Ovis aries: one gene and its partner. The protein of the gene in region 2 binds, or shares a complex with, the protein of the main gene of each other region. Links are inferred from orthologs where the notes say so. Each region holds a gene or a part of one and is shown on either strand. Other genes may lie near its edges.

Region 1 (3,967 bases), on a different chromosome or scaffold from region 2:
ATTGCCCCCCTCCCCCCTCCCAGGGAGTGTCTGGGCCGAGCCCAGAACCCCTCCTCGACACCCCCAAACCTCTTTATCCAGGCCACTCCCAAGGCCCAGTCTCTCCCCACCTTACCAGCCCCCTCCTCACCCGTTGAACCTGTGTCTGTATGGGACAGTGCACCATCCGACCTAGGACTTGATCCTTTGAGTCCAGCTTGATGCAGGCCAGGCATTTCCGCTTTCTCTGGGGAGCGGGTGTGGAGGCCAGAGAGGAAAGGGGTGAAGGGAGGCGTGCAGCCCTGTGAGGGCGGAACCTAGGGCCAGCCTGCAGTGGGGCCTGTTCCTTTGGCAGGCCAGCTGGGTCCAGGCGCAGCCTAGCTCTGGCCTGGGAATTTTCAAGTCGGAACTATCCTGCAGTTTTCAAACTGTGTGTGTGTGTGTGTCTGTGTGTATGTGTCTGTCTGTAGGCGGCACTTAGTTTTCAAACTGTGTGTATGTCTGTGTGTCTGGCTGTGTCTGACACAGGCAGGTTCTCCCCACCTGGCTTCCACTGCGCTGCCATCTGTTACATTTATCTGTATGTTCTGTTTTCTTGCAAGATTTGAATTGAACACAGGGATCCCGGTGTATAAGTCCAGAAAAGCACTAGTCTGATCCAGCACTCCTCAGCAGAGGGAGGTGACTGAAGCCTTGACGAGCCAGCGCAGGAACAGGACTGGGGGTTGGCAGAAGTGGTTGTGTTCCGAGCCCAGGGATCACCCCCATGGCAGTGACTTGGCCCCGAAGGTGGCTGACAATAGTCAAGCCCTCTTAGGAGTCAGCCCAGGCCGAGCCATCGTCCCCTTGAAAACTCATGAGAAATGGGAAGTTCACTAGGCCTAAGGTGGGGACCACGGCGTCCTTCCGCCAGTGACCTGCAGCCTGGGTGGACCAGCTCTGGAACCTGTGTGTCCATCTCCCTGCCTGTTGCGGCCCCCTCAGCCCAGCCACAGCCATCACCGCCACGGGTGCAGGCAGGCAGGCCGGTCAGAGCCAGGGAGGCTGCCCCGCCCCAGGGTCTCCAACCTCAGGATTCTCCAACTGTGAAGTCCACTGCCCACTCCTGCGCCCACTCCTGCCCTGAGCACGCACCCTGCCATCAGCTCACCCCATTGGGCTTGACCTTGCAGTCTGCTTTCCTCCAGTCCTTCTTCCGACAGCTCGTCTGCTGGAGCTTGAACTCCAGCCTCACAAACTGCCCGGCCGGGAAGAGCTGCCAACAGACGAGAGAGGCCCGCGGCCCAGCTGAGCAGGTGCCGGTGTGACCTGTCCCTGCTTCCCAGCAGTACACCCTGGGGCAGGGGCAGGCGGCTGGGCCAGCGGAGAGCTGGGCGGCTTGCTGGGGCCCAAGCATCGGGGCACCTGCTCTCGGTGGGGGGCACATTCTGGTCTCCTGATCCCCATCCCGCCCTCCCCTCGCTGGGCTGGCGCTTACCGTGTCCGAGGCATTGTCTACGCTGGTCACCTGGAAGGCCCACTGCACAGGCGGATGCTTGTGGAACTCCTCCAGGGCCACCTGCAGGCCCCGGTGCTGGGCTGCCGTGAGCTCTGCCCTGCCCAAGCCCATGGAGCCCAGCCCCAGGGCCAGTGGGAGCAGCAGCTGCCACATGGCTTCACCTCTGTCTCCCGGACCCTGCAGAGGACTGTGCGTCGGTCTGGAGGAGGAGCCACCGGCTCCTGGGCCCCGTGTTTCGGGGCCGCGTCTGGTGGGCTCTGGGCAGAGGTGGGGGGACGCGGATTGGCCCTGCAGACCCCGTCCCCACCCCACTGTGTTCCCCTGACCCATCCCTCTCCTCCCATCCGGCCCCACTGTTCCCAAGGCCGGCCCAGGTTGGCCCTATCCGAGGTAGGTGCTGGGTCCGCTCCAGTCCTTGGGCCAAAAGCTGGGGAGCAGGGCCTGCTCCAGCTCTCTCTACGGGCCTCCCCCATCTTCACCATCCGGGGCCCAAAACGGGGTTGTGGGGGAGGAATGGAGGCTGAATATTTTGGGGAGGACATAAACATGTGGGAGGGGCCCAGGGCGGGTGGGCTTTAGGAGCCCACTTAACCCTCGCTGTGCTGAAAGAGCCCGTTGCCATGGCCCCACCACCTCCGCACTTCCCCCAGAAAATGGGGGTCCCTCCTCCACCCCGCCTCCTCTGTCTTCTTAGGCAGTCTCCCTCCCTTGCCTTGTTCTTTTCTGGAGCCTTCCTCTCCCAGCCCGCCAACCCCGCACCTCAATCCGCGAGACTGGGATGGGGGGCGCCTGAGGGCCGGACTTCCCCGAGAACTCTGCCCGAGAGCAGCCTCCCGAGGACCAGAAAGCCCCAGGTGTGGAGACCCAGGCCCCGCCGGGCAAAGGTGCCAAGCCGTCGCCTCGAAGACAGGACAGGGCTCGCGGAGCAGCCGACAAACGCCGGCCTCCGGAGCTGCGCCCTTTACCCGCCCCGCGCTCCCTCCCTACTCCTCTCCCGCGCCTCGGGGTCTCCCCCCCCCTCCCCTACTCTCCCTCGGGGTCTCCCCCCTCCCCTCCTCCCCTGCACCTTGGGGTCTCCCCCCTCCCCTCCTCTCCCTCTGGGTCTCCCCCGCTCCCCTCCTCTCCCGCGCCTCGGGGTCTCCCCGCCTCGGGGTCTCCCCGCCTCCCCTCCTCTCCCTCTGGGTCTCCCCCCTCCCCTCCTCTCCCTCTGGGTCTCCCCCCTCCCCTCCTCTCCCGCGCCTCGGGGTCTCCCCTCCTCACCTCCTCTCCCGCGCCTCGGGGTCTCCCCTGCGGTCCCGGCCTCTTCCCGGCACCCGTCAGGCTGCCCCCGCGGCGCGCCCGTCTCCTCCCACCTCCTCCTGGGCCCCCTCCAGCGCCCCGCGGCTCCTCCCCGCCCGCCCGCCCGCCGGGACCGGCCTTGGCCGACGGCCCTCCCGGGATTCCCCTCCTCATCCCCGCCCTGCGCTGTCCGGCCCTGCCCTCCCGTCCCCTCCCGCTGGCCCAGCGGGCCGCCCCAGCCCGGGCGCTGCCCTGCCCCCAGGAACAGGGCGACCCCTTCCCCTCAGGCCCCTCCAGGCAGTCCCCAAGACACTCACTCCAGAAAATTCTTCCCAGAAATCCAGACTTCCTCAAACCCCAGGAGACCTCGACGAGTCATTTGAACCGTCCCCCTGCACCTTGGAAACACACTGAAAAGGAGGGTGTCTCCAACACCAGCAAACACATCAGGCGTGAAGGATCACGTCCTGTCTGTGGTGGCAATGGGCTCCCAGGGTCTCCCGTGTGGGTGAAGGGCGGCATGGTGGGGTTCCGAAGGCTGCTGGGGGGTCAGGGGAAAACAAGGGCTCAGCTCCTGCTGCTGCTGAGCAAATAAGAACAAGCCCTGGGACTTGGTGTGTCAGCCACCAGACACGCTGCTACCTAAGTCCCAGGCCCTCTGCCCCTTGCCTGTTGCCCACGGAGAGAGAGTGACAGCCGCTCAGTCGTGAGCAACTCTTTGCGACCCCATGGACTACACAGTTCATGGAATTCTCCAGGCCTAATACTGGAGCCGTTTCCTTCTCCAGGGGATCTTCCCAACCCAGGGATCGAACCAGGGTCTCCTGCATTGCAGGCGGATTCTTTACCAGCTGAGCCACCAGGGAAGCCCTCAGGAAGATGACCTGGTTTAACCACCAGGACCCCTGAACCTTCTGCTCCCTTCTCTGTGGTGTGGGGGCCAGAGGCCCTCCCGCTAGGGGGTTGTTTGGAGGATTAAACAGGGAGATGTATGGAGAGGGATGGATGACCCTGTGTTTGGTCCCCTTCCCAGGCACCCCTGGCAGGATTCTCCACGTGGAGCCCAGAGCTTCCTTTGCAATGTGCCCTGGGGGTGCCAGAAAGATCCTCGCCTTCAATTAGCCAGTTCTGGGGGCTGAAATCCCACCTTGGACATTTCAGTCCCATCTGCGAGTTGTCAACAATCACTAAGCAGAGATGAGAGCTGGGGTC
Region 2 (4,201 bases):
TGCGGTGGCTCACTGACTCACTGTGGAAGAGGACCAGGCTCCACTCACAAATGCCTGACTTATAACAAATGTCTGTTTGCTTTGAGCCATTGTACGCATTGGGTCTATTTGTTACTGCAACTGTGACCCTGACTAATACAACATTCAACCTCCTTTTTTTCAAATAAGAAGCTTAGGGCCAGAGAACGGGCGTACCTTGCCTAAGGTCACGTAGCAAATTCAACAGTGGTTAAAAACGATGGTGTTTTAACAATCGGGAGTAGATTTTCTAGTTTTCAACCTGCCCCCCAGAGCCATGAAGGTTCCTAAAGGCCCTTCAGCAGTGACAGTGAGGTTCAATGAGCTGCCGTCTGGAGTCCTCCACTAGAATAACGTCACTTTTATCTGTCTTTAAAGTGCACTTCTCCATGTAATTTCATCGGAGGAAGGCGTTCTGTGGCTTAAAATAATGTCGAAGCCCGCAGGCTGGATGACTGCTAATGTGATCTGACTTTCTGTGGTGTGAGACTGAGTTTCATTTCTTCTCCACCATTGCCTCCTGGCTTTTCCTGCTGACACAGGAGATGCAGACTCGCAGAAGTGCATAGATATTTGCTTAGGAATGAAAAAAAGCAGCTCAGTGTGCGTGCAGCAAAGAACCCAGCAAAGAACCTGGGCAAAGGGGATGATCAAGGATTCCAGCTCGGTGGTTCTCAAGATTGTCAGGGGTGCTGGTTCAAAATGCAGACTCCCACACTCCATCCTCAGGGATTCTAACTCAAAAAAACTGATGCTCATGGTGCCAGGATGGCCCTTTGAGAAGTCCTGAGTCTAATTCAACTCAGTCTAAATCAACAGCAAGAACCACAGGGAAGATTGATCTTGAAGAGGAGGTCGGGGGTGGCAAAAAGGAAGCTGGGAGCCGGGCACTTGAACAGAGAGAGAAGACAGACCTGAGACTCGTCCACTTGTTCTCTAGCCTCTCTGAACTACATAGGTCTGAGTGATCAGACTGACAGCAAGGAGCAGGTACTTGAGTATAATGATGTGCTATTTGCCTGTAATTTTGCCAAGTGCTGGTCCAAATGGCTCACCTACTTAAAACATGCTCATTTGAAAGCAGAGGGGGGACTGGAATTTTCAATAGCTAGCACTGGCAAAGGATTCACATCCTTCATATATAAAGAACTCCTAAACATCAATGAGAAAAAAGACAAACATGCCAGCAAGAAAAAAAAAAAAATGGGGATTGACTTGAACAGGATAGTCACAAAAGTGAATAACAGGATTGTAGAGGATATTCAGCATGAAGGAACAAATGAAAACTCAAGCAGCCAGATGCTATTCTCACCTTTCCCATCAGGGAAATTTTAGGAGACAGGTGACAACCAGTGTAGATGAGGCTGTGAGAATATCACACCCCAATATTGGGCCAGGAGAGTGCAAGCCAGCTCAACCTTCTAGGGCAATGCGGCTAAAAGCCTCGAAAGCCTTAAAAACACACAAACCTTGGAGCCAGCAATTTCACCTTGGGAAAGTTGTCCACAGGACACGCAGGCAAAGATGATGTATTAGGAGTGGCCGCTGCAGCTCTGTTTATAATAATGAAAAAAAAAAAAAGGAGGCAACCACATGGAGGGATGATTAATAAATCCCAAGCCATCTTCTCCATGCAGCCTTTAAAATGCATATTGGAGGAAAGTAGATAATACAGATGAAGGTTCATGATCCCTGGTTAAGGACAAGGTAGGGTACCAAACATGGGCTTCCCTGATGGCACAGACCGTAAAGAATCTGCCTGTAATGCAGGAGACCCAAGTTTGGTCCCTGGGTTGGGAAGACCCCCTGGAGAATGGAATGGCTACCCACTCCAGTATTCTCGCCTGGAGAATTCCTTGGACTGAGGAGACTGGGGGGCTATGGTCCATGGGATCACAAAGAGTAGGACTGGGAGACTAACACTTTCACTATAGGGTACCACACAAGCTGTCAGAAAAGGGTGTGTGTGTCCACATTTAGATGCTCCTATGCGGTGGTACATTGTAGGCACTCCACAAACATCACAGGTTGGTCAGTGAGTCAGTGAGTGACACAGAGAGGCACCTGAAGGTTCACCTCTGGGTTAAGAACCCCTCTTTCTTCTCTGTAGCTGAGAGGTAGGACATTCCAGCAGCTAAAAAGGTGGGTTATACAGACTTTCAGCTCCGCACCCCACTACCCGACTCCACAGCGTTGAGCTGGTGCCTTCCCCAATCTGAATCTCAGTTTCTTCACCTGTAAGACATGCACGATGAAAGTACCTCCCTTGTAGGCTTGCCGGGAGCATTAACAGAAAAGAAACATAGAGTTCGCTGCCTTTTATAACTATGGTGACCTCGCTGGCTTTTTCCAATTGGCATGCATCACTTTGGAAATCTGAAAATCATAATATAGCTATTTCCATTTTGACAAAAATTACATTTTACCAAGAGCCAAAGAGCTTCTCTATTACTGTTTCCCACACCCCCCACCCCTGCAACCCGACTCCTCTGGGCAATCAATGTCAGAGCCAAGCTTGATACCTTTGTGGCTGGTCTTGCCCAGGTCTTCTCTGACTTCAGGTCACTCGAGGTTGTGCAGGAGACGCGTGATCCCCAACTTCTTCCTCGAAGTCACACTGTTCTTTGCCTGGGGCCGTTTGCCCAAAAAAGCAGTTCACCCCCTCATTCATGGGCCCCCCAGAGACCCCAGAGCACAGCACCCCCGGAACATCCTCATCCCCCGGAGGCTCCCAGGGAGACCCCCGGTTTGTCCTGCCCTCTTTGCTCACTGGGGGCTGAATGGGACAGGACTCTGCCAGAGAAACAGCTGGAGGGAGGAGAGAGGGAGGGGCAGGAAACGGGGCTGACCGAGGGCGGGGGCGGCCAGCTGCACGGAGTGGGGGCCTTCTGGGGAGGCTGCCTGTGGCGGGCAGGCGGGCGGCGGCTGGTGGCGAGGTCTGCCCGGGACGACCCACCCCTCTGGGAGCTGGGAGCGGTGCCCACCGTCTGAGCACAAACTAGGAGCACATGCAGGCCCCGGGGCAGCTGTGGGAAGCGCGTCTGCTCCCAGCAAGAGCCTCCGGAGCTCCAGACAGACTACGCAGGAGCGTAGCTGCCTGACGTCCCACTGCCCGTCACCCCCACCCCAGGCCTTTGTGCATGCGACTCCTTCCACCTGGATGCCCTTCCTGCTTCCTGCCCCTATTCGTGGCCTCACGACCTTCTGTTTCCTTTTTTTTTCTTTTTTTTTTTTTGGGTAAATTAAAATAGCAATGAGGTTTTTTGCAGTATCTAATGAACAAAAATTTAAATGTCCTGTAATATTGGATTTTAGCAAATGTTGTTGTAGTGGTTGACTTGCTAAGTTGGGTCCAACTGTTTGCAACCCCATGGACTGTAGCTCGCCAGGCTGCTCTGTCCTTGGAATTTTCCAGGCGAGAATACAGGAGTGGGTTGCCATTTCCTCCTCCAGCAGATCTTCCTGACCCAGGGATCAAACCAGCATCTCCTGCCTCAGCAGGCGGATTCTTTACCACTAAGTCACCAGGGGAAGTCCTTTAGCAAATGTTCAGTTCAGTTCAGTTGCTCAGTTGTGTCTGACTCTTTGCGACCCCATGAATCGCAGCATGCCAGGCCTCCTTGTCCAACACCAACTCCTGGAGTTCAAACTCATGTCCATCGAGTTGGTGATGCCATCCAGCCATCTCATCCTCGGTCGTCCCCTTCTCCTCCTGCCCCTAATCCCTCCCAGCATTAGTCTTTTCCAGTGAGTCAACTCTTCGCATGAGGTGGCCAAAGTATTGGAGTTTCAGCTTTAGCATCAGTCCTTCCAAAGAAATCCCAGGACTGATCTTCTTTAGGATGGACTGGTTGGATCTCCTTGCAGTCCAAGGGACTCTCAAGAGTCTTCTCCAACACCACAGTTCAAAAGCATCAATTCTTCAGCGCTCAGCTTTCTTCACAGTCCAACTTTCACATCCATACATGACCATTGGAAAAACCATAGCCTTGACTAGATGGACCTTTGTAGGCAAAGTGATGTCTCTGCTTTTTAATATGCTGTCTAGGTTGGTCATAACTTTCCTTCCAAGGAGTAAACGTCTTTTAATTTCATGGCTGCAATCACCATCTGCAGTGATTTTGGAGCCCCCAAAAATAAAGTCAGCCACTCTTTCCACTGTTTCCCCATCCATTTCCCATGA

Evidence for each region.
Region 1: the proteins of CMKLR1 (region 2) and RARRES2 are in contact, whole or in part, in a cryo-EM structure (PDB 8ZJG), measured with the Homo sapiens proteins. The link is inferred for Ovis aries from reciprocal best matches to the Homo sapiens genes CMKLR1 and RARRES2. Residues at the interface, in NP_001135815.1 of Homo sapiens: Asp20, Tyr21, Leu22, Asp23, Ser24, Ile25, Val26, Val27, Leu28, Phe88, Leu92, His95, Tyr103, His104, Asn116, Leu119, Ile120, Met123, Arg178, Leu183, His184, Gly185, Lys186, Ser188, Cys189, Phe190, Asn191, Trp203, Thr205, His217; in NP_002880.1 of Homo sapiens: Leu34, Phe37, His38, Phe60, Thr75, Ser76, Cys77, Arg96, Leu111, Gly112, Arg113, Leu114, Val115, His116, Cys117, Pro118, Ile119, Thr133, Leu136, Arg137, Gln139, Arg140, His146, Ser147, Phe148, Tyr149, Phe150, Pro151, Gly152, Gln153.

The regions. Positions count from the first base shown.
Region 1 is NC_056057.1:113,909,621-113,913,587, forward strand, and holds the start of RARRES2 (retinoic acid receptor responder protein 2), read right to left. Parts: upstream 2,801-3,967; 5' UTR 2,738-2,800; intron 2,492-2,737; exon of another isoform or gene 2,237-2,491; intron 1,735-2,236; 5' UTR 1,631-1,734; coding exon 1,457-1,630; intron 1,235-1,456; coding exon 1,130-1,234; intron 227-1,129; coding exon 116-226; intron 1-115. UniProt on the Homo sapiens protein: Adipocyte-secreted protein (adipokine) that regulates adipogenesis, metabolism and inflammation through activation of the chemokine-like receptor 1 (CMKLR1). Also acts as a ligand for CMKLR2.
Region 2 is NC_056070.1:64,708,581-64,712,781, reverse strand, and holds the start of CMKLR1 (chemerin-like receptor 1), read right to left. Parts: upstream 2,801-4,201; 5' UTR 2,541-2,800; intron 2,395-2,540; exon of another isoform or gene 2,260-2,394; intron 1,572-2,259; exon of another isoform or gene 1,488-1,571; intron 1-1,487. UniProt on the Homo sapiens protein: Receptor for the chemoattractant adipokine chemerin/RARRES2 and for the omega-3 fatty acid derived molecule resolvin E1.